Alligator mississippiensis: one gene and its partner. The protein of the gene in region 1 purifies or fractionates together with the protein of each later gene. This does not show direct contact. Links are inferred from orthologs where the notes say so. Each region holds a gene or a part of one and is shown in the gene's direction. Other genes may lie near its edges.

What was found.
Region 2: the proteins of EYA2 (region 1) and ACAD9 purify together in Homo sapiens (affinity purification with mass spectrometry; 3 studies listed by BioGRID and IntAct, with this or other methods). This does not show direct contact. The link is inferred for Alligator mississippiensis from reciprocal best matches to the Homo sapiens genes EYA2 and ACAD9.

The regions. Positions count from the first base shown.
Region 1 is NC_081832.1:15,619,358-15,630,774, reverse strand, and holds the start of EYA2 (eyes absent homolog 2), read left to right. Parts: upstream 1-6,214; 5' UTR 6,215-6,240; coding exon 6,241-6,421; intron 6,422-11,417. UniProt on the Homo sapiens protein: Functions both as protein phosphatase and as transcriptional coactivator for SIX1, and probably also for SIX2, SIX4 and SIX5.
Region 2 is NC_081835.1:29,679,944-29,691,970, forward strand, and holds the start of ACAD9 (complex I assembly factor ACAD9, mitochondrial), read left to right. Parts: upstream 1-6,992; 5' UTR 6,993-6,998; coding exon 6,999-7,118; intron 7,119-12,027. UniProt on the Homo sapiens protein: As part of the MCIA complex, primarily participates in the assembly of the mitochondrial complex I and therefore plays a role in oxidative phosphorylation.

The DNA.
Region 1 (11,417 bases):
GGGAACCGCTGGCCTAGAACAAGACGTAGCACTACATGGGTAAGAAGACAGAGGCTAGACTAGTTTACTGTCTTCAACTCCTGCAGTTCTAGTCATCCTTCCAAAGTTACAACATACTTGTGGTTTGCTGTTCCACTCTTGAAGAAATAGATTCCAAAATGGTAATTTCTGAGTGGGTTTGGCAATATGTGGAGGTCAATTTTCTTACAGTGCAAGGTTAAGAATGATCAAATATTCATAACATAAAGCTAAGTTTGAAGGAGAGACTTACAGGAGGAGAGAAAAAGGGGCAGGGAAGGGTGTAAAGCAAAGCCCACCAATACTTGAGAAAGCTAGTCAACTACACTTCTACCTTCCATCTGTGCTCACAGTACAATCCCTGTAACATGACTGGACTGCAACTTGCTTTAGGACTAAAGGAATAGGCCTACCCTACAAAGAGAACCCTCCTTTTGAGTAAAGATGAATATAAGTATCATAATAACAATCCAATGTTGAAGATGTACTGATGACGTTCCAAATACTCTATAGTTACTGGCTATGCATGTGACTAGACCAAGTCCCCAACCCTGCTCTCAAACAGGACAGAAGTGAATACACAAGCTGAGTTAATGCCCCAAATCTTCTGGGAGATTTTCCTCACTAGTCATTGAAATAACATAAAAAAACACAACGTAAAAATAGTGCCCATCCGCCTTTCACATTCCTCCACATCTCTTTGCTTCAAACCTTAAATCCTTTCAGGCACAGCAACCACTCTTGTTTGCTTTTTAATCAGTGTGCAATGAGTGGACTGCACCTGAGTGAATCTGCATTTCATGTAATGTTCCAACCCCTGCTTATACGATGGAGAGAAAGGAGAATTCTCCTCTTGTTGGAGCATTTTTTTGCATCCTGTTACATTATTAAAATATTATGGGGGGGGGAGAACAAGATAAATGTTTCCTTTGTGGGGAAAAAAAGATAAATTCATTTTCACATGCAAAACTAACTTTTATGCAAATATAGCCACAAATGAAATGTCATTATTCTACTGACAAGCGTGGTTTTTCATAGTTAAGTTTGGTAGCGTTCCACCCTGAAAAAAAATCACCAAACACGTGTACAAGCACCCAAATATTTTACACACTATCTTTGTAGAATGTAACTATGTTCACAGTGCAAGTAGCTTTTCCACTGTGAAAGAAAGACGATCCTTCTTCTAAACTGAAAAAAATGCAGACAAGACAGCCTTTTCAAACACTAGGCGAAAGTTCTGGTGTGCTTTTTTTCCCCTTCAAGCCAGAACTACAAATGGATTCACACAGCCTTTCTTGTTTTGGTACCAGGGACCAAATTTTCAGCTCAAGATTCCTTTTAAACAAACAGAAAGGGGAAGGGGACATAAAACTAAAAAACAAGCAGGCATATTTGATCACTTAGTGATGAAAAGATCAGGCACTCATCGGGTGCAGGGTTTTATTTTTGTGCATTGTGTTAAAAATTGGAAACCATATGTTTTAAGAACAGCTTCAATAGTATCAGTAGCTATGATCCTCCTCTCAGATTACTTTTTACTGCCTGCCTAATTTTGAGCTTTAATAGCTAACATGCACTTTGTTCATCAGTTACAAATGTTCTGAATTTGAGTGAAGTAGAAGGCTAAGCAACACAGATTGGTCCCTCATCAGTACTAAAGAAACAGCTAGCAATTTGTTTAATGCTAATGTTGCTCAATTTTTACTTTTTACAGATAAATAAATATTCATGACAAATAAATAGACCTACACAAAGAAAATGGATTCCTCCCATTCTGAATGATGAATGTGAGCTATGAGCACAAGGGCCCTTTGTTACAGCTTTGTTGTTGTGTTGAAGACTCATTCCTACAAGGTGCTAAGCACTGATTCAGCAGAGCACTTCAGCACATGCCTAAACTTGGAATACTCACATTGAATTTAAAGTTAAGCGTGTACTGAAGTGCTTTGTCACACAGTTTTTGAGCCGACTCTGGTATTAGTTAAGCACATGCTTAAGTTCTTATCTGGATTAGAGCCAGTGACTTTAGAGTCCTCCAAGATTACACTCTGCTAGCCAGCAATATCCTTTTTATTTACACCTGATGTTTTTCTATATGACAGAGAGAACAAAAAATAATCATTCTTATATTGCAAAGACTTTGGGACAAGATGCCTCTCTATTTTTAGCATACTTTGTAAATGAATTAAGTTATAATCAGGATCATAATAGTTCAGAATGTTTAAATATGGAAAAGCACATATTACTCCTGAGAAAACCAATCAGGGTCCCATTATATCCTTTTTTATCCCCTTCTGGGCTAGCAGGGCTTCTCACCTTTCTAGCTGTATATCAGAAAATGGTTGAAGATCCTAATTTAAATATGTCAACATTGTTCCCCTTTTCTGACAGAGTTGGATAAAATGGAGAAACCTGTTAGTCCTGATTAACAGTGTCAGGTCATTCCTGAGTATCAGGCAAGCCTCGGAGAAAGTTGTTAATTTTCCATCCTCACAGAATATACTATTTCTACAAATCACACTGTTTTGTTCCAGTTCCCCGATCCTCAGCTACTTACCCAGCAGGCTGCCATGGAGCTGGGGCCTCCGGGCTTCCATCTTTTTTTAAATCCTACCTGGTGGGCTACCATGCAATAGAGGCTACCCCGATCCTCTAGGTGGGCAGCTCCCTAGCTGACTGGGTCCCTACTCAGGAGATAGGAAGTCTTCCTGGCTGCCCAGATCTCTGAATAGTTGTCTACTCAGCTCCCTGGGACGATGTAAGAGCTATGTATGTAAGTGTCTCTCTGACCTGACTTATAGGATGGGAAGCCAATGAACCATAGAGGCAACTTAGGTGCTGTGTGAAATTGTTTGAAAAAAGAAATCCATTTTAGAAAACCCCTAAATAGCTAGTTTTAAATATTCCCAACCCGTTGGAAATTTGATGTGCTGGAATTTGTGTTTAGATTCTCGACAAAAATATTTGTTTGGAAGTATGAAGTTTTCATGGGATAGAAATTCCAGTTCCTGCAGCGCAATACTGAATTCACTGCACTGCTTCAATTCTGTTTTGAATAATATTTTTATCTCTTTCAATTCCTAGAAGACACGGGACCAGTTCCAAATTAAATGCCACCCACATCTTGGAGATGCATAAGAAACCAATTTTGCATGCTTGGACACAGCTATAATAGTGAAGGAAAGCAGCCTATACAGCTCCACATTTCTCACAGTTTAGTAGGATGTATTTACCCATTTTTCATAACAATTCTGGTGAATAAAATCTGTGGACAACTAAATGCTGATGCCATTCAGGTTCCATTTCAATGTTATATTATGCATAAGCTAGAGAGAGCAGTCCCACTTGTGCTGTGCGAACTCGTAGACTTGATCCTTTTCCCAGGTAGTGCTGCAGTAAACAAATCTCTCTTCCAATAACATGAGGAAAAGCTCTAGAAATTGTGCCTGTTGAGGGAAAGAACGTGTTTTTCTTGCTTGCTTCAAGCATAAAAGACTGTCTGGTATATAGAATTTGTAAGTATAGATTCTGCTTGCTACTAATTCACTCATTTCCTTTCTTACAGCTGTCTTTTCCACGAAACCTCTATCTGTTGTTGAAATCAACAGAAGCAGCAAACCCTTCCAGAACAAGCACAGGACGGGGTGTTAGGGAAGCCCAGATTTAAATTTTGACTCACTCTCTGGCCCTGTGGCTGAAAACCGGGAGCAGATTCCATCTATTGTGTTTGTACAGTGCCTAGCACAGTTGCTGTGACATGCTCTGTCTCTGATGTGGTCATTTACACATTTGACACAGAGGAGAAAATGCATGGAGCATACTTCTCACCATTGTGATAAGAAATGACGCAGAAGTATCACAGACGTATCCCCAGGCACTACACAAAACAAATATTAATAATTACTTAAGCACATACCTAGCTTTAAGTTCACAAGTAATGTCATTGACCATATCCAGACAACTCAATGTGTAAGTCAAGCACCTAAATAACTACGTTATTAAATCATGGCTTGAGTGCTTTATCCATACTTATTTACCAATGTTAAGGAGTTAGCTTCATACAGCTAATGTGGCAGTCAGATGACTGGGGAAGAAGGAACTGCTGCAGAGGCAAGTCCTAGAGACAATCACATACTGATATCTTGGTAGACCAGTCACCAGATGAGAAATTCTAGGTGAAAAAAGCCAGAGAAGAGTTAATCCAGGCTAGTGATTGAGGCTGATTTAATGTGTGAAAGCTGCCTGAGTTCAGAACTGCAGAGAAACCATGGGGAAATCATGGGGTTAGTGCTGTGAATTGATGGAAAGTAACAACTGAAAAAATGTTGGGGTTTTTTTAGGGCAGCAAGAGGTAGTTCGTGCTAGGAAGTTTGCCAGCTGATTCTCGGCACTTTGTCCTCTTTGGACTGTAGGAACACACTTCGCACTCAGACTGATCTAAGTAATTTTGATAGTAAAAACAGCTGTCTGGTAGAAATGATGTTTTTGTTTCTTTGTCAAAAGCTTGAGTTAAATCCACGAGGGCTGCAAGTTGTTTAGATCTTGAACTCAACACCCTTTGTGCTTCCTGGGATTTTCCCACAAGGACCCTCCATTGCAGTTCATGTGATTTCATTTTCCTGAAGTTTCTTCTTGAAGAAAGGGAGGTAGATAATATAAGCTATTGCCATTGGGGTTTACTGTTATCCTCTGATGCCTTGTCAAAATTGGGTAGCCATACCTTGCCCAGTTTGGTGGAAAAGGTGAAAAGAAAAAGCACAGCACAGAAATGTAACTTCCCTAGGATTCCCGTGACTTGTACGCTGAAAGACCACATTCCCAAATACCATCGGCCTGGGAATGTGCACATATTAGAACATATAGTTGTATGCCTATATATGTGGTAGCGTGTATCAGTGTATATGTGTGTGCACACGTTTGTGTATGAGCCTGTGCATATGCGGATGAAAGGGATGTGAGTGAAGTGGGTGCTGAGAGTACGTGTTTGCACACATGGAGTGGGGAGGGGGGGATGTGTGGAAAGTACAGTATGTTTATGTACTTGGAGAGTAGAAGTGGATCTGTTCATTTCCTGTTTTCAGATGTGCCCGTATGAGTGTTCACTGAGTGTGGGTAGGCAGATCCCCTGTCAGAGACAGATGTTCCCCTGAGGAAGACGGACAAAATCTGAGGGCAGTAAGTGGAAAAGTGCATAATTTAGATTTTGAAGAGCTCTGCTCCATGACAGCCCCACGTGTGTCAGTGGCATGACACAGGGGAGCAGATACTCTCATATGTTTGCTGGATCTGGTTTGAAAACTCGGGTTCCACCCTACATTACATGTATCCGACGAAGCCGTCACAAAAAGCACGTGATAGTATTACACATCATCACATCAGAAGACTTTACTGGATTTTGTTATAAAATATGAAAGCATTGTTTAAAGTACTTCTTCAGCCAAACAGTTAACATTTTATAACAAGCAGATTGTTGACAGTAGCCGAAGAAGCAATATGAACTCAAGAGAGGGGGAGAAAAAAAGTCAGTCTATCAAGCTCAGAGCTCAAATGAGAGGGAAAAAAAATCAAAGGTCATAATTAAAAAAAGAAATCAAAATGTGAAGGTCAGTTGAGAGTCAATATATTAGCAGGTGTGTTTAGAGAGCTAAATCTATGAACATCCTGGTAATAATTCATCCTATATGAAAGGTCTGGGAGAAGTCAGGATGAAATCACTGCTGAGGTGGGAACTTGCGGAGTTGCCAGCTCTAGTATTTTTATTGCCCCGCTCCCAGCCTCTGGTGTCTGACTTGAGAGACCGGGCTCTGGGGAACGTGCTCTGCTCTCATGCGAGGATCTTGAAATGAAAGGTTTTCTTTAAAAAAAAAAAAAAAAAGCGTAGAGAACAGCTAGAGCAGGGTCCGTGCCGGGGTTCATTCGCCTTCCCACCTGGCTACCTGCTTTTTGGAGGAAAAAAAAAAAAGTCTCATGATGTGTCAAGATCAACTCATGATTGCGTGTGGCCAGAGTTATTCAGATCGACTCAGCGCAGCTCCGCGTTGTGGGTCACTCTAGCTCCCCCCTGCACGCGCGCACACGCACACGCACACGCGCACACCCCGCTCCAGCAGTGCGACGCCGGGCGGGACCCCGCCGCTCCCCAGCGCCCTCCACCTGCTGGGAGGGAGCCGGAGTGTGGGCAGAGGGCAAGGTGAGGGCAGAGGCTTCACGGTGCGACCGGGCATGTGCGGCTCGCTTGCACATGCTCACTGCGAGCTCGCCGGGACGCGGAGGGCACGCTGCGAAGCACGGCGGATTCTGCTCCAGCCCCGGCTCCGGACCAGCTGCCCCAGCCTCCCTGCGCGGGCGGCGGCGCGGGGACGCGGAGCGGAGAGCCCGGCGCCAGCACCTCGTGCAGCCCGCGGTGAGCGCCGCGCGGGGAGGGCGGCGGCGGCGGCCGGGGATGCCCGGGGCAGCGGTGCCCGCGGAGCGGCGCGGGCGCGGGGCAGGGCAGGGCAGGGCAGGGCAGGGCTGCCTCCTTCTCCTCCTCCTCCTCCCCCCGCCGCTCGCTGCATCCCGGCCCGGAGCTGTCACCGGGGCTCGCGAAGCCCCTTCCCTGCTGCGGGCGGCGGGGCGGCCCCGCGCGGGTGCCCTGCTCCGGCCGGGGGCAGCCGGGACTGGAGGCTGCAGGGTCGCTGTCCGCCGGCCCGGGCACCTCGGCGCCGCTGCCCGGGCTGCTGCGTGCGGCCGGCGGGGACGGGGTGCGGGAGCTCCCGCCAGGGCTGCCCGGAGCGGCTGGACAGTGCCCCTTGGGCTTGGACCTGGAGAAGGCTCCGGGGACCACAACCTGGCGGTGGCCGATGAAAGACACGGAGCTGCTTCTTCCCCGCAGCTTACCAAAACCCAACTCGGCTTTAAACCTCCGCCCGTTGATTTACCGAGTCCCCGTCTAAACCGGCGAGCCGGGCTTTTAACCCGTCTCCATCCCGCCCAGCCCGAGCGCCAGGCGGAGGAGTTCGTAGGCAAGCCTCTGTCCGCAGTTGTTCAGCCGGGAAAGCTTTGGAGTGTGATTTACACACTTTATTTAAAGTTTTTGAGTGTTAAATTAAGTTGGAGTGAGAGCCAGTGGCCTCCAAAGGAAATTATTGCTGGTGTGCAAGTGCTGTGTTTCAAACTTAATCTGTTGACTGAATGATACATTTCTCCTGGGTGAAATTTTAGTTGTTAAAATGCATATGGTTAACCTGAAACCTGTTTTTTGGTCTACATCACGTTTAGCAACAAGCGTTTTGTTCAGTAGAGTACCAGGCGTGTGCACATCCCTTAATGCAGTTAATGTAACTGGCAGGAATGGTTTATTGTTTAATCCTCCTAATGGAGTTTGCTAGTTTACTGAGAGATTTCCTCCCCTGGAATGCTTTACGTGGAGGGCTTTCTTATCCTTTTTTCTCCAGATGTATTGAATACTGTAACTCAGATCTATTCCTGCATGGGGATCCCAGAAAGATGTTTGGTTTATTTCCAAACTAGCTTCTCTGAATTCTTTTCAAGCTGTTAGTTTTCCTTTATTTTTCTAATTAGATTTCAAAAACACAGAAAAGATGACTTCTTCCTTCCTTCAGGCCCTGTAGCACTACTGTGGTTTTTTTTTTTTTTTTTAAATACAATACTATTAGCTTTCATTCGTGCTTAAAAGCGACAGCATGATGCTGCCTTCAGATGATGTTGTGTGTGACTATGAGTGACTTTCAGTACAGTTGTCTTAATAGTAATGATTGTAATAGGATTCAGTATATTTAAATATCTTTTAAATTCACCTTTAAAATTCATGTGAAATGACTGTTACCACAAATAATGTTAATAATTATTTTTACTTAACTAGTATCTCTGCAGAAAGCAAAAGTAGGCACCCCTGCAAAAAATTGCTTAATGATTTCGTCTCGAGCCATAACATTAATTAAATCAAACTGTCAAGTAAAAATCACATGAATCAAAATATACTTATGACTGAATAACAACAGGTGGCATTTTCAGCTTTAGTTTTTCCATTTGTTTTTATTTTTCTCCCTGCATATTTTGTTTTAAAATACTGCAGTGAGACTTGATCCCCATGACTCACTAATCACAACAACATCATATGGCTGAAATGCTCCAAACGGGCTGCTGTTTAAAATATTTCACAAACTTTACAATCTTAAATTTTTTTATGAGGGATTCATTCGGGAGGAATAAAAATGTTTTTGTTGGAGGGGGAATTATCAGTAAGAATCTGTGTGCAGCTACAGTACGTGTGCAAATGCATCTTTATTATGCAGACAAGTTAAACCTAGATACGCATACTAGGAATGAGGAATGTTGTGAAAATATTGTCATTTAGGTTATGCTCAGAGCCACTGCATAGTGTTTAAATAACACAGTGAGTGGTACTTCAGATTCTTCTAAAGATTAAATAGCTTTCTATATAGCAATCAGTCCTGCAACACTTATACAATGTTTTATGTACGTGAGTATTCATAATAAAATCAGTGAGACTATTTGTGCTCAAAAAACGTGAGCGGGGTACGTGCTTGTAGGCTCCGTTGATGTGTGTTTCTATGTGCTTGCACCACACGCACATTAAACTGCAAGTCCATTAAATAAAATTCCATCATTTTCCGCTGTCATTTTAACTACTATTTCTGACAATGCTGTAGTACAGATTTATTCTGATATAATTTCTAATTCTTCTCAGTAAGATTAATTTTTTCTCTCCCAAAATGTGCAATAGCTAGATGTTTTTAAGGTGTCTTCAGCCGGACTATCCAACTAGAACAGTGTTGAAGACTAATTAATCTTTGCCGTAAACTCCTTCTGCAATAAATTCACAGGCTGTTGTACTTAATATGTGGAAATGACTGTTAGGATTTTTGCTGCAGTGGAAAAATGCTTTTAAAGTTATATGAAAATAAAGATGTTTTCAGAATACCAAGAAACTATTTTGGAATTAATTTTGACTGTTAAATCTGAATTTTCAATTGAATTTAACTCTTCATAGACTGTACAACCTAATCAAAGAAATATTTTATATGATGGTCATAAATAAATGTACCCTGTAGGTCATGGAGGCATTTGGCAGGTGTAGGGAAACCCTGTGTTATTGTTTGCCTATTTATATGAATAAATACAGGATATCAGGCTCATGTCTGCCAGTCCAATACATCTTGCTACATCGTATCACAAGAACATAAAGAGGAAGGAAAAAGTAAAGGCAGAATAAACCATTAAATATCTAAAGACTTGGAATAATGGAACTAGCACATGTAAAATAATATAGTGTTTAAATACATTTTCAGTATTTGGCTTATTAAGCGTAGTGCTGTCCTTAAAAAAAAATAAGTCAAACAAACCTCTTTACACAATGTTGTCTCCAGTACGAAAAGGATTTGGAGGTGAGCAAACTGGGAACACTTAATAGAAAAGAAATCTCATTTTCTCCCCCTCTCCCTCCACAATGACAGAAAGACCAACCTGGTCAGCTGTGTTTTGTTTGTTACATTTAGTGGCTTGAAAGGTCCAATTAGAAAACAATTGGTGGTGGCAACCTAACTCAGGTAAAACAATACCTCATCTTTATTTAGAGATCTTAACTGGGGTAATGGTGTTTAACAAACAGTCTGTTTTAATCAGGTGAGGATAAACCCCTCAATTAGGTAGCACATAGCTGCAACTACATCTTGGTGATGACAAAATGTCACTGGGGGCTAAGAGCCCCTTATGAAGGTCTTATGTTGCTATAGTTTTGTTAGAACTGGAAGAAAAAAATCAAGCAAGATTGTGCAGTTCTATTTACTTGTTTTTTTGCAAAAAGATTGTTAATGTGTGGTGATGAGACTTAAAACAGATAAAAGGGACCTTACTCTCTTCTCTTTAGCAGGCTGCTGTTAACCAGGGGTAACTCCACTGAAGGAACACTGGTATTAATAGCAGTGTGAAAAGAGAATCTGATCCGAAACATCGGTCACTGCACAGCTAGTTCCAGCTGTTGTCACATGCTGCATCCTTTTTAGGTTTTTTTTTATGCTGTACTGTGTGTGTGTGTGTGTGTGTGTGTGATGTATTGCACGCACTGTACACCCTCTGTATGTTCTGGATTTAGTTATATCATTGCACTTTATTTAAAGATAGATGGTTTACGTGTGTGCATTAAAAGGAGAGAAAATTATACAGGATAATCCTTCCCATGTAAACTACCGGTATGTAATTGCTTATTTCCTAGTACTAGTTTATTTAACATGGTGCATGGTTCATTACCAGAGAAGGAATAATTTCTGCTTAACAGATTATGGGGGATGCCGGAGGTCATTAGAGATTGTTTGTTTGTTGTGAAATATAGGCAATATCTTCACTTGACTCTTCCATACCGTTTTACCAGGATATCTGAAGCAGGCTTCTGGCTTTCTAGGAAGGCTTGTGTATGGAACGTGAAGCTGCATTTATTTCTGTTTTATGGATTACTTATTTAGTCTGAGTACGATTAAGGAAAAAAAGAATGAACACATACAGAGTTAATGGCTCTACCTAGCCCTATTACACCTGGTTATGGCAACTGGGACATTGCCTTTACCTCTAAGTCAGGGCAGTAAGGGTAAATAAGAAGATATGGGTCCACATAGTTGGTTGTAGCATCACACATTTTATGGTTACTCAAACAACTGGTTCACAATCTTCTATTTAAAACGAGCGTACCTGATTTTAACACTCAGCAGTTCATACAAAAGAAGACATTTAGTTTGGAAAAAAAAAAAAAAGACCTCCTCTTATTCATTATTTGCCGGGCATATTTGTGGTGCATTGAAAGTATGATCCAAATTTGTGACCATTACTTAATTGGTGAAACTCAGCACACAAATGTATAAATATTTTTATAAAATAATACTGAATGTGAAAGGGTGACTTCTTAAAACAGAAAATAATGATATTTATATGAATATACAGACTAAAACACATACATATGTGAACACACACATGCACACACACTAAACAGCAAGATGCATACCATAATGAAGAGCTTCTTAGAATCTATGGTTTCCAGTGCTTTTATAAGTAGGTATTTAATATCCTTACCTTTATTTTATTTATTTTTTAACCTTGGAGGAAAGTGATCTTTTCTGTTCTTTTTCTAGCTCTAATTCAATATAAATTCAAAACTAAATGACATATTTCTTAATAAGCAAGGATAAATAACTAGTGAACTACAATGGAAAACATTAAATACATTGAGGAGTACATTGCAGTCTAAGGACTGATTTATTTTCATTTTATTTTTTCATAGCAGAAGACATCTTAAGAGTGCCTGTTGGCAACCAAGATTTCATTTGGTCTGAGGAAACACAAAATTATAATATTAAAATGTAACTGAAGTACATGTGTTGAAAAGAGAA
Region 2 (12,027 bases), on another chromosome or scaffold:
AATACAGCAGCCCAAGCCTCGCAGATGGCATCACGGTGTTAACACTATCACCGGCCCCACACTGGGCCCCAGAATCATCCTACATGACCCCACTATGATCCCTCCTGATCAGATGGCCTCTCCGCCTTCATCTGAGCTACCTAGCCCCCCCGAAGTCATGTTTCCCTCTCGGGTGTGGTTCCCCCGGAACCTTCGGCCTCTTGCCCTGGCCCACCTCAAGGCGAGTTGGGACCCCAGGCCCCCGGCTCTTGGGCGTCCCTCGCGGTGGGCCCCAGGCCCTTTTGACCCTCTCTGGTCCTGGCCCCAGCATGTGCCAGTCGAGGGTACTATTCCCTTCGGGCTGAGTCTCTCTAGCCGCTCACTCTGTCACTGGGCCTCACCATGCCACTACTCCCCATCCTCTCGGGGGCAACCGCAGCACCACGCCCACATCACTCCCACTCTCGGGGTCCGCTCCTCTGGGCCCCTCACAACACTGGCCCTCTAGGCCCTCCAACATAAGCATGGGTAACCCACCCGGTGGTGGTAGGAACTAGGGGTTAAGGCGCCCCAACCCGCCTTTCACCGGGGTGATCACTGGCCTGGTATTTCCTGGGGGCTCCCGCGCCACTGAGAGCCCCACCAGACCACCCACTCCCGGCTGGGTGCAGTTTCAGGTCATGCCCAGGACCAGGAGCCTCCTACCAACCCCTTGCGGCTCCCCCTTACCTCCAGGTCGTTCACAGCAGCCCTGCGGCCAGGCAATGTTGCTGCCTGGCCTCCTGCAGCCAAACTGCCTTATTTATATTGGCCCCAAAATGGCTACCCTAATCAGGCACCTGGAGGCTGCCAGCTCCAGGCCCTTAAAGTGGCAGAGACACCCTGTGCTCTGCCACAGTCTTGCTTAGCAATGTAAACTCAGTGTAAGGTTTTTAAAGTTTAGTAGGATTATATTTACCTGAATATAGCTTATTCTTTTGTTTAACTGTTCAGTGCTGCTTTGGCAACTGAGTATTTTAAAGCCTGTCTACAAAACAAAGCACAAGGGTAGCTGAATAAAAACAGGAAATGAAAAATTGAAACTTAAAAAAGGAGAGAAAAATAGGTGTAACAAAAAAAATCAAAGAACAGAAGAAAGTATTTAAAAGTTTAAAGGAAATTTGAAAGAAACATTTGAAACAAAAGGAAAGTTAATTTGTACATGAATTTTAGGATTCATGGAGTATAAGTGTGTCAGTTAAAGATTTCGTATTCATCCAGACAATAAAGTGATTGACCATTGTCTCCTCTGTCCCCACTCCTCTTGCCCTCTCCCTTTCTCTTGGAAAGATGGGGCCTTGCTTCATTCCTACCCAAATTCCAACTTTTAGGTAATTACTTTATCTACTTGTTCCTTATGAGTTTAAAAACAAGGAAACCCTCTTCAGAAGCTGCTTGAAAAGCAGACTGAGCAGAACTGAGTTAGATATAAGACATGGTAAAGTGTGCGGAAAGGTATCTGAATCTTCCTTGCACTGAATCTTCTGCAGTAATTTACACCAGGGATAGGGAAACTTAGTGCAACACCTGATGGTGCTCAGTTTGGGCCCAGCTTCGGCAAGAAACACACAAGTGGAAGCCCATTGTGCCTCTGTGAGCCTGGGTCCTCTGCGGGACATGCGGCAGACCCCAACCCTGAGCCCCAGCATAGCCGGGAGGCAGGTGGCGCCTGCAGTGGATGGGAGCTAATCAACTGTGGGAAGCAGCTGAGAGGAGCTGAGGAGGGTCACGCCCCCCGCTCCTACTTGGCCCACCTGGCGCATGAAACAGGGGAAGAAGGGGGCACTCACCTGTCCCCTTCTCTGGTGGGGCAGGGACCCCCAACCCCTGAGAGGGGCGTGGCGCCAGTGGCAGGCCATACTGCACCTGTGCAGAGTCTAAAAGGGCCCGCTAATGGCAGAAGCCACAGTTTGGGCCTGGCTCCAGTGAGAGATGCACAGGTGGAAGCCCGCTGCACCCCCATAAGCCTGGGACCCCCTAGGATCCGCAGCAGGACATGCAGCAGACCCCAAACGTGACCCCCAGTGTAGCTGAGAGGTAGGTGGGGCCTGCAGTGGGTGGAAGCTAGTCAGCTGCAGGAAACAGCTGAGAGGAGCCAAGGAGGGTTACGTCTCCTCTCTCTCCCCGGCTCCTACTTGGCCCAGCCCTCCAGGGAGCCACGTGAACAGAGCGCACAAACAGGCGCACTCTGGGCCCGGCGTGCAAGTTAGCATGGGAGTTCATGCAGAAGGGCGTACAGGAGGGACATAAGGCTTTAAGCAGCAAGCCTGAAGTGAAAGGTTGGCACAGCAGTAGCCCAGACTGCTACCTGAACCATGGTGGGGATGCACTTCCCCCTGAAGATTCCCTCTGTGACTGGCTCCTCCTCACCCACCCCAGTACCTCTGAGGTCTCCACCCAGATAGAACCTATGGTTCTGGCCTCCACTCAGATGGGGCCCCTGGCTCTTAGTTGTGGGGGTTGCCTGGCATGCCTGCAGGCACATGGGATCAAAAAAAATTCACACCTCCCCTTGTGAGGTTTGCTCCATACTGGAGTCTCTGGAGTGCCAGATATGGAAGCTCCAGAGGGTGGTGCAGAGGCTGCATGCCATCAGGAATGGCAAAGAGGAGACTGACTCTTACTGCCAGGTTCTTCACCAGAAGGAAGAAGAATGAAGAGCAAGGTTGGCTGGCAGGACAAGGATGGACAGGAGGAGCTCCCATAATGTCCAGCCAGGGGTCACTTGGATAAAGGTTGTTTCTGGCCCCAAAGTAACACTGCACAAAGGTCACCACCCCCCTGGACCTTCACAACAGGTACAAAATCTTCACAGCATCAGAAGAGCCAGCAGAGCTCCCAGCTCATACACCTGAGGAAGAAAGGCAACCTGTAACCACCCCTAAGAAGGAATGCAGAGTGGTCATTGTGGGAGACCCCCTCTTGAGGGGGACTGAGGGAGCTATCTGCCACCCTGATCCCTTAGCCCATGAAGTATGCTGCCTACCAAGGGTCTGCATCCACGATGTAGCTGAGAGGATCCCAAAACTTATCTGGCACTCTGACCACTACCCCATGCTCTTCATCCATGTAGGTACGAATGACATGGCTTGGAGCAATCCCAGCCAGGTCATGAATGATTACAGGATTCTGGGAGCAGGGCTCAGAGGGTTGGGGGTACAGGTGGTTTTCTCCTTGATCCTTCCAGTTACAGGCCACAGGCATAGGAGGGAGAGAAGAATTGAAGAAGTAAACAGAAGACCAAAGAATTGAACAACTAAACAGAAGACTATGGCTTCTACGACCACAGTCTGCACTTCAGAGAGCCAGTGAGTTACTGGGAAGGGACAGCCTCCACCTCACTTGCATGGGGAAAAAGCTCTTCTTGGTCAGAATGGCTGACCTGCTTGACTGGGCTTTAAACTAACTTCGCAGGGGGGTGGACGCTTAACCACTGGTGCAAGCCCACCAAGCGCCGACCACAACATCAGCAGGTCAGGCTGATCAGCAGATCAGATCAAGGGAGCTCACTCCTACCCCAGCCCAGGGACAGGGCTCTTCTAGGAGTGCAGGGAAGCCTAGGACCTCTGATGGTAGGCTCACTTGCCTGGACACAAATGCCAAGAGCCTAGGCAACAAACAGGAGGAACTGACCCTTCTGCCAAACAGAAATTACTACATTCTGATAAGGATAACAGAGACCTGGTGGGACTCCACCTATGACTGGACTACAGGTATAGATGGCTATACCTTGTACAGGAGAGATCATGTTGCAAGAAAGGGCAGGGTGTAGCTCTCCTTGTGAAGAAGCAATACACTTTCATACAGGCAGAGATTGGTAGCCAAGGAGGGCAACTTGAGACCTTCTAGGTAAATGTACAAGGGAATGTGGTGAAGAGGATATAACAGTAGAGGTCTAGTACAGACCTCAGGAACAAGAATTGACCAATTTTTTACTAGGAAACAGGCTGAAGCTGCAAGGTCCTGCTGCATGGTTGTCACGGGTGACTTCAACTACCCTGACATCTCATGGGAAGAGCACTCAGCCAAATCCAATCAGTGGCAATGCTTCCTCACATGCATTGATGAGCCCTATTTGTCTCAAGAAATCTATGGGCCAACAAGAGGCAAGGTGCTGCTGGACCTGGTACTGGCCAAAGGGGATAATCTAGTGAGCGACCTGAGAATTGAAGGGAAGTTGGGTGACAGTAACCTCGAGTTGATAACTGAAAAAGGAGAAGAGGTGGACATATTTATGGACTTCAAGAAAGCCTTTGACCTGGTATCATATGATGTCCTCGTGGAAAAATTGAGGGACTGCGGTCTCGACAATCTCACAGTCCAATGGCTGGAGAACTGGCTCCATGAATGAACCCAGAGAGTGATAGTTGATAGAATTGAATCAACATGGTGCATGGTGACCAGTGGCATCCCCCAGGGCTCCATTCTTGGACCTGTACTCTTCAATGTATTTATAAATGATTTGGACTGTGGTGTCAGAAGTGGACTGGCTAAGTTTGCTGACTACACCAAACTATGGGGAAGTGTGGCACCTTAGAGGATAGGCTGGCGATCCAGGCAGACCTCGACAAGCTTACAAGGTGAGCGGATCAAAGCCTGATGGCGTTCAACACTGAGAAATGCAAGGTGCTTCACCTTGGGGCAAAAAACCCCCACACCACACTTATAGACTCAGGTTAGTCTAACCTGGCTAGGTTGAACCGGTTTGTAACCATACAGACATCCCTTCTGGACTGAGGAAATGCCGGCACATGCCTGCAATGGCTCAGGCTAGTATTTTGGGGGCGCTAGAACAGTCTTCCCTTCCCTTCCATGGTGCTGAGCTGAAGGGGGGTGGGGGAGCATAGCCAGACCCTGGCAGGATGCACTCCCCCCCCCCCCCCCGCCTTGCTGCTCCTCTGACCAGCAATGGAGCCAGTAGGGAGTTACACAGCATTTACTTACACAGCAGGGAGTTGCAAAGCATTTATCAGCCTATCAGCAAAACAAAAGTATTTCTCATCAGTTTAAGCTCTTCTTAAACAACTTTTTCCAAGAAAGGAATAGAGGGACATTAACAGCTACCTGTTGATTAGCTCCAAAAAGCCATAAGCAGACACTGTCCTGTCTGCCTTTGTCCTGTCTGCCTTACACAGACACCTCTCAGCATTAGCTAGCAGACCACATGCTGGCTATGGTCTGTGCTGTGGGAGACGGGAGGGGAGGGATCCCTGCTTGAGCAGGGAGTGGTGGGTGCGGGATGGGGCAGGGCATAGGCAACTGGTGCCGCCTGAGTCAGAGGTGGCATGTCCCCTCCCCCCACAGCAACCAGTCAGCGACCAGGGAGGTGTCCCCTCATGACCGATCCTACCAACTGGTTCCCCCACAGCCAACTGCTGCAGTCACTTCCAGAAGTGGCTACGGCTGCTTCTGGGAGTGCCACAGGGCCCCCACTCCCCGGCCAGCGCTTGCAGTGGGGCGTAAGCAGCAAGCACAGCCAGTCAGGGGGTGCACTGATGCTCTCAGAGGGTGCACACTCCCATGTACCCCATACGCATCACCACTGGGGCAGGGGGAAGCCAGGTAGACCCTGCTGTGCCTCTAAGTCTCTGCTGGAGCTCCAGCCAGGGAGCAGAGGGGTGGGGCCAGCTCTGCTGTGGAGCTGTGTGTGCTGCCCAGGGTTGCAAAGCATCTGGGATGCTGGGGGACTCTGGCTTAAGTTAAAGCAGGTAGGTGTCTGGGACAGACTTCGCATAAACCGGTTGGACCCAAATCAGTTAAGTTTGATACTACATTCAACTAGGTTTATCTTAAACTGGTTTCAGCCATTTTCAAACTGGTTTATGTACACTGAACTTATGTTCTGTTACAGGTTCAAACCAGTTTCTGATTACTTAAACTGGTTTGTGTGTAATGTCTGTCCCTAGCCAGAGAGGGAAAACTTACCAAACTTAACCCAGAGTACATGCAAAGAGGGCTCCAGGATACAGGAATAACAAAGCTTGGTTCATATCTAATGTGACACCTGAAGGCAAAGACTCAGATATTTTGGTACTCATGTGAACATCTCTTCTTACCAAGGTTGTCGCAAAATAGACCTGACAATAATCAGTCAGCAATTTCACTGATATTTTTTGCGCTTTCATAACTACATGAACTGAAAAGGTATGGTCATGTGAAACTGTCTTAAGTAAATGTTTGAACTGTTTGAGGAAATTGGCAGCGGAGAGGCTGTTTTGCTTACAGCATTGAGAACGCAGACGATCTGCACTACTCAGAGTAACGGGATGGAAGGTGGACGTAAGGATTTCCAGCTACTAGCTATACGACCCTGATGGCAAGGCAGCAAAAAGCCTGTTTGAAGAAACCACTCTGCAGTTGTAAATTATTATGTGGCAGAGCAGTCAAAGAACCAGCCCCCCCCCGGAAGAATGACAGTATAACCAAGCATTGATACCAGAGGACTAGTGATACTAGTAATATCCACACGAATGACTTAAGTCATTTTGATTTAAGAAGGGGCATAACCCTCAAGGTTTATGAAGAAAGCCGGGTTCCCCTAACCTTCCCCTTCCAGACCGTCAGCGCCGCTGGACGCTGACAAACGTGCCTGCGACCAAGGCGCGGTTAAGACAAGTTAAGACCATGAGCCCAGAGCCGGACACGCTGGGTAAGGTAAGGCCCGGCCCGGCCCGGCCCGGCCCCGCCCCGCCCCGCTCGTGCGTCACGGGCCGCCCGCCAGGTTTTTACTGCCAACCGCACTTGCTACTAGCAAGTAAGCGTCAGCGCTCGAACATGCCCCGCAGGACAGCAGCAGAGGCGGTTAATACCGGCTTCCGTCTCCCCGCTGAAGCGGCCACCGGAAACAGCCGGCGGTTTTCAGCCTTCCTACAGCCCGCGAGCTGTCGCCCCTCCCCCGCGCGGCGCAGTCATCACATGTCTCGGCGCGGATCGATGGCGTCATCAGCCTGCGTCAACCGGCCGCCGCGATCTGTCACGGCATGAGCCGACACTTGCTGCGGGCGGCGCGCGCCGCGCTCCCCGCCGGGGCCCGGCAGCTGCGCACCGCGGTCCCCCGCCGCCGCGGCGCCTGCGACTTCTTCCTGGGGACACCGCTCAAGGTGAGGCCGCGCAGGGATCCTCGGACGGGTCCTGCGGCCAAAGGGAAGGGCCCAGGGCGCAAGAAAGCCGGGAAGTCCGTGCGGCTGGTGGGCAGCGGGGACACTTGCCTGGCGCCGGCGAGGGGAGCTTCAACCCGCGAAAGCTGCAGTCTCCCCGTGTCCTGTGCCTGCCTGCGTAGGAGCTGCCCCGGCCGGGTCCCTCCATAGCACAGCCCGCCTTGCCCAGTCTCCTGCCCCACTTACTGTCCTGTGAGTCTGCTGCCTCCTGCCTCCTGGCCTGGCTGCTCATCTGCTGGCCAGGAAGGCGGCTCTGGCTAGGCCAGAGGAGCCGGGTGGGTGGGGGCTGCTTTCCTGGCACTCCTCCACTCACGCCTCTGGGCAGTTTTCCTGGGAAGTGTCCACTGGCTCCTCGGGTGTGTTAGAGGGCCATGGGTGCTGTCTGGTGCACTCTGCTCGGTGTCCCTCTTTGGTGCATTCATTTTAAACCTACAAACTCACACCTAACCTTGTTTTCTCTTTAGTGGGCCCCTGAAATCAGTTCATGTCCTCAGTGAACTCCTTACTAAGGCAGGCGTATAGTTCTTCCTTGATGGGCCCAAGTACATGATCCTCTAAGCGCATCAAAAGGCTTATGCCAGCAGGGCCAGAGATGCAGAGATATAGGTACATCTCTCTATATAGATACATTCATCTGTATCTCTTTGATCAGTCTAAAATGGCAAATCTGCTCTACCTTTTACTTGACTTCAGGCTAAGGGGCTGCCCAAGGGCAGGGCTGTCTCTCATGTCAGTGAAGGGTAGAATATTTACTGCCTTGGGGCTTGGGTGTGGGGCTAAGTTGAATTCCAGGGCTTTTTGCAACTTACGTGGGAGTTTGAAGAAATAGGAGTCAGACCCTGAGATCAGTTGGAAAACGCATGGCAAGATCTGAGAACAGGCCGGTGTGGTCAGGACAGCAATAGGGTGGGGTGAACTGGGGAAACACTACTCTTGTTTTCTGACCTACACAGCAAGAGGGGCTTTGGGGGAGGTTTTGTGTTATGTTTAGTTTAATATTAAGTTATTCTAGTTTTATTCCCCTTCTCTTGACTATTACAAGTTCTTTGATCTCATTTACTTGCTCATTGCTCCTCGTAGGTATGTCCCTACCAGTGAGAAACATTCATTGCCCGGGACAACTAGCAGTGGCATGCATTTGTGCCACTACTGGGGACCGCCCCGGCACACATGCTCTGGCCTGCAACAAATTGCCCCAGGTGGGGTAGGGGAGGCAGGGGCCAGCATCTGGGCTAGCCCCAGCAGCCTTACCCAAGATTCTGGGGGCCTCGGGGCTCCAGTGGCAGCAATTCAGGCATGCAGAGCCTGGCTGGTAGCTAGAGTGTGGCTGTGACTGGCCAGGCTCTGATTTCTAGTGGTGCATGCTGCTGCCATGTGTACGCTGCCCCACTTTTTTCTGGTGCCTCTATTTTTTTGACACGGGAATTTTGACACTCTTGGTGTCAACTCCCAGTGCAAATTAGTGCAAATTAGCAGCGCAGCAAATATGTGGCACACGTGGTCTGCAGAGCTGTAAATCACATGTCCTCATGGGATGTGTCCAGATGAACATGCACATCTAAACTAGTAAAACTCTGCCTAATATGTTTGTCTTTTTCCTTTCTGATTTCACCCGCAAATTCTCTAGCCAGAAAAGTACCACGGTCTTCCATCCCAATTTATATCTATTGCTTGGTTTCTTTCAGTGCCCCTTCTTGGTTCTTTCACTTCAGTATTACTGCTCTAATCATTCCTTCCCACTCCTCTCTCTGTCTGCCTTTGCATGCTTTCCTTTTATGGGGAACATTCCCTATCTCAGTCTGCCAAGCAATTTCCCTCTCTCAAGTCCCTCTTTAAAACAAGCTAGGCCAGGAGACATTACCTGGAGTGAGTTGTGTCCCTACTCAGACCAAGGAAAAACTAAGTTGTTCCATTTTCTGGAATATCTTCTATGTTTTGTGCCCCTGTCTTTTAGAATGTAATATCTCTGGAACCTGAGACTGTTCCTGTTCACTTAAGTGGTAAACCATGCCGTGAATGCTCTCCAGTCTGAAAAAGAAAATCAGTGTGACTATTTGCATACAACCTGATATCATTTTGAAACTTAAGTCTTTAGGATTATATTTTGATTTGCAGACTAAAGGTTCTGTGCTATCAGTTAATTTGACAAAGAAAAAGTATTAGTTATTTTACTTCCTGTGAGTTTAAATCATTAAGAAACATAGCTTGTGGTTTCTATTCATTTAATAAAAATATAAGATACTCTTCAGTTGTCTCCATCTTGTTGCACTAAGCCAGAGGTGACGAACCTATGGTCCATGGTCTGGATTCGGGCCGTGGAGCCATGTTCTACAGCCTGTGGGCCTCTGCCATGGGTCCAGAAATACGGTGGCCTTGCAAGCAGTAGTTAATTGTCCTGACTTCCAAAGATGCAACAATTAATGCTTCTGCCACTCTTCCTGCTGTCAAATCTCCAGACATATGGGAAGCCTTGTAGAATGGATCCAGAGCACAGAACTGCGGGACTGCCTGTTGGGGTGGAAACTTGGAAGAAGGAGGGTTAGCAAGTGCCATGGTTCTGGGAATCACAGCAGTTAACACTGCTGTCACCAAATTCAAACCATTCAGGCCAGATGACAGCTCTGTGCTCTGGATCCAGTCTTCAGATTGGCCTCATGCTACTCATCTGACCTGAGGAGCTAGATGAGTTGGACACTGCTGCACTAAGCTGCTAGGGCAGTGTCCATTGCTTGTTACCATAATAGAAAATAAGTGTTGGAAGGGACCTCAGGAAGTCATTTAGTTCAACCCTCTGCTCAAGGCAGAACCGTTCCCAGCTATGTTATCTCAGTCAAAGCTTTGTCTACCCTGATCTTAAAAACCTCCAAGGATAGAGGTTCCACCACCTCTCTAGGTAACTTGTTTCAGTGTTTTACTACCCTCCTAACAAAAAAGTTTTTCCTAATATTGGAACTAAACTTTGCTTGCTGCAACTTGAAACCATTGCTCCTTTTCATCTATCACACCACTGAGAACAATTTTGCTCCATCCTCTGTGGAACTACCCTTCAAATAGTTGAAAGCTGAAATTAACTCCCCTCTCAGTTTTCTTTTGTACAGATTAAATAAAACCAATTCCCTCGACCTCCCCTTATACGTGAGGTTCCCCCAGCCCCTTAACCATTTTTGCTGCCCTCCACTGGACTCTCTCTAACTTGTCCACATCTTTTCTGTAGTGGTAGGCCCAAAACTGGACACAGTACTCCAAATACAGCGTCACCAGTGCTGAACAGAGGGGAATAATCACTTCCCTTGATCTGATAGCAACACTCCTACTAATGCAGCCCAATATGCTCTTTCTTTGCCTTCAAGGCAACAAGGGCACACTTGGCTCATATTCAGCTTATTGTCCACTGTAATCCTTGGGTCACTTTCTATAGAGAAACCTGTACCAGTGCATAGGAGTCTTCTGTCCTAAGTGCAGGACTTGGCACTTGTCCTTATTGAACCTTATGAGGTTTCTTTTGGTTCCATCCTCCAATTTGTCTAGGTCTCTGAATCCTAGCCCTTCCCTCCAGCATATCTACTACTCTCCCCAGCTTGCTGTTATCTGCAAACTTGTTGAGGGTGCACTCCATCCTATCTTCTAGGTCACTGAGGAAGATATTGAACAAAACTGTCCCAGAACCGACCTCTGGGGCACTCCACTTGATACTGGCTGCCTACTGGACATCAAGCCATTGATTAGTAGTTTTTGAGCCTGATGTTCCAGCTAGTTTTCTATCCACCTTACAGTCCATTCACCCAGGACATACTTTAGCTTGCTTGTGAAAATGTGGGAGACCATATCAAAAGCCTTGTTAAAGCCAGGGTTTATCACATCCACTGTTGTTCCCACATCCACAGAGCCAGTCATTTAATCATAGAAGGTAATCATGTTGGTTAGGCATCACTTGCCCTTGGTAAATCCATGCTGGCTGTTCCTAATCACCAGAGAGCCTGGTATTCTCTGGTTAAAAACTCACAAATTCTCTGATTTTAAAAACCCCAAATTCATGATTAAAATGAAAAACCACTAATAATATAAGAACACAAAGTTTTATTTATATATTTACAATTTTAAAGCAATTTGTCAGCCTACCTGTGCCTCAATCACTAATAAAATATATTCTAAGTACCTTTATATTTTGGTATTTGATTTTCAGTTTTTTATCATGGAAAATCAGAGTTTCCCCCTGCCCCTGTAGATCATGAGGGGACAGGTCCAGGCTCATCACTCCCAATCCACAGCCCCTGGGACCCTGCCAATGCCTCTTACTCCCCAACCAAAGTGTCGTGGCCCTGCTAGTGCCTCTCATTCCCTACCTACAGCCCCCTCCAGCCCTGCCAGAGGGGTCCCAGCTGCTGCAGCTGTGGGGCCAGGGACCCAGGTCTGCAGCCCCTGCCCACCCCCACAGCAGGGCCCAAACCCTGGTTGCTGCCTGTGGGAGGTGGCAGCTGTTGTGACAGAGCACAGTGACGCCCAGCTCCCCCTCCCCCTCAGGCAGCACAGCTGAAGCAGAGCCCATGAGGGTTGGGGGGCGGATGCGGGCTAGATGTTAATGCCCTCCCCTGGGGCCTCTGCGGCCTAGCAGGCGAGACCCAACATGGCATGGCAGAGTGGGGTGGGATGGGGAAGCTCCTTGCCACTTCAAGCCCCAGGCTGCTGTGGTACGGTGCCTCCTGTATGACCGCCCTCCTTCCGCTCCACGCAGCCCCTTGCAGGCTGGAACTCTTTGCAAAAGTGGAAAATCGTGTTTCTCTGTTAAAATGAAAAATCCACGTTTTTCCCTGCGTTTTTCCCATTTTTCCATGGGAAATGGAAACCCAGATCC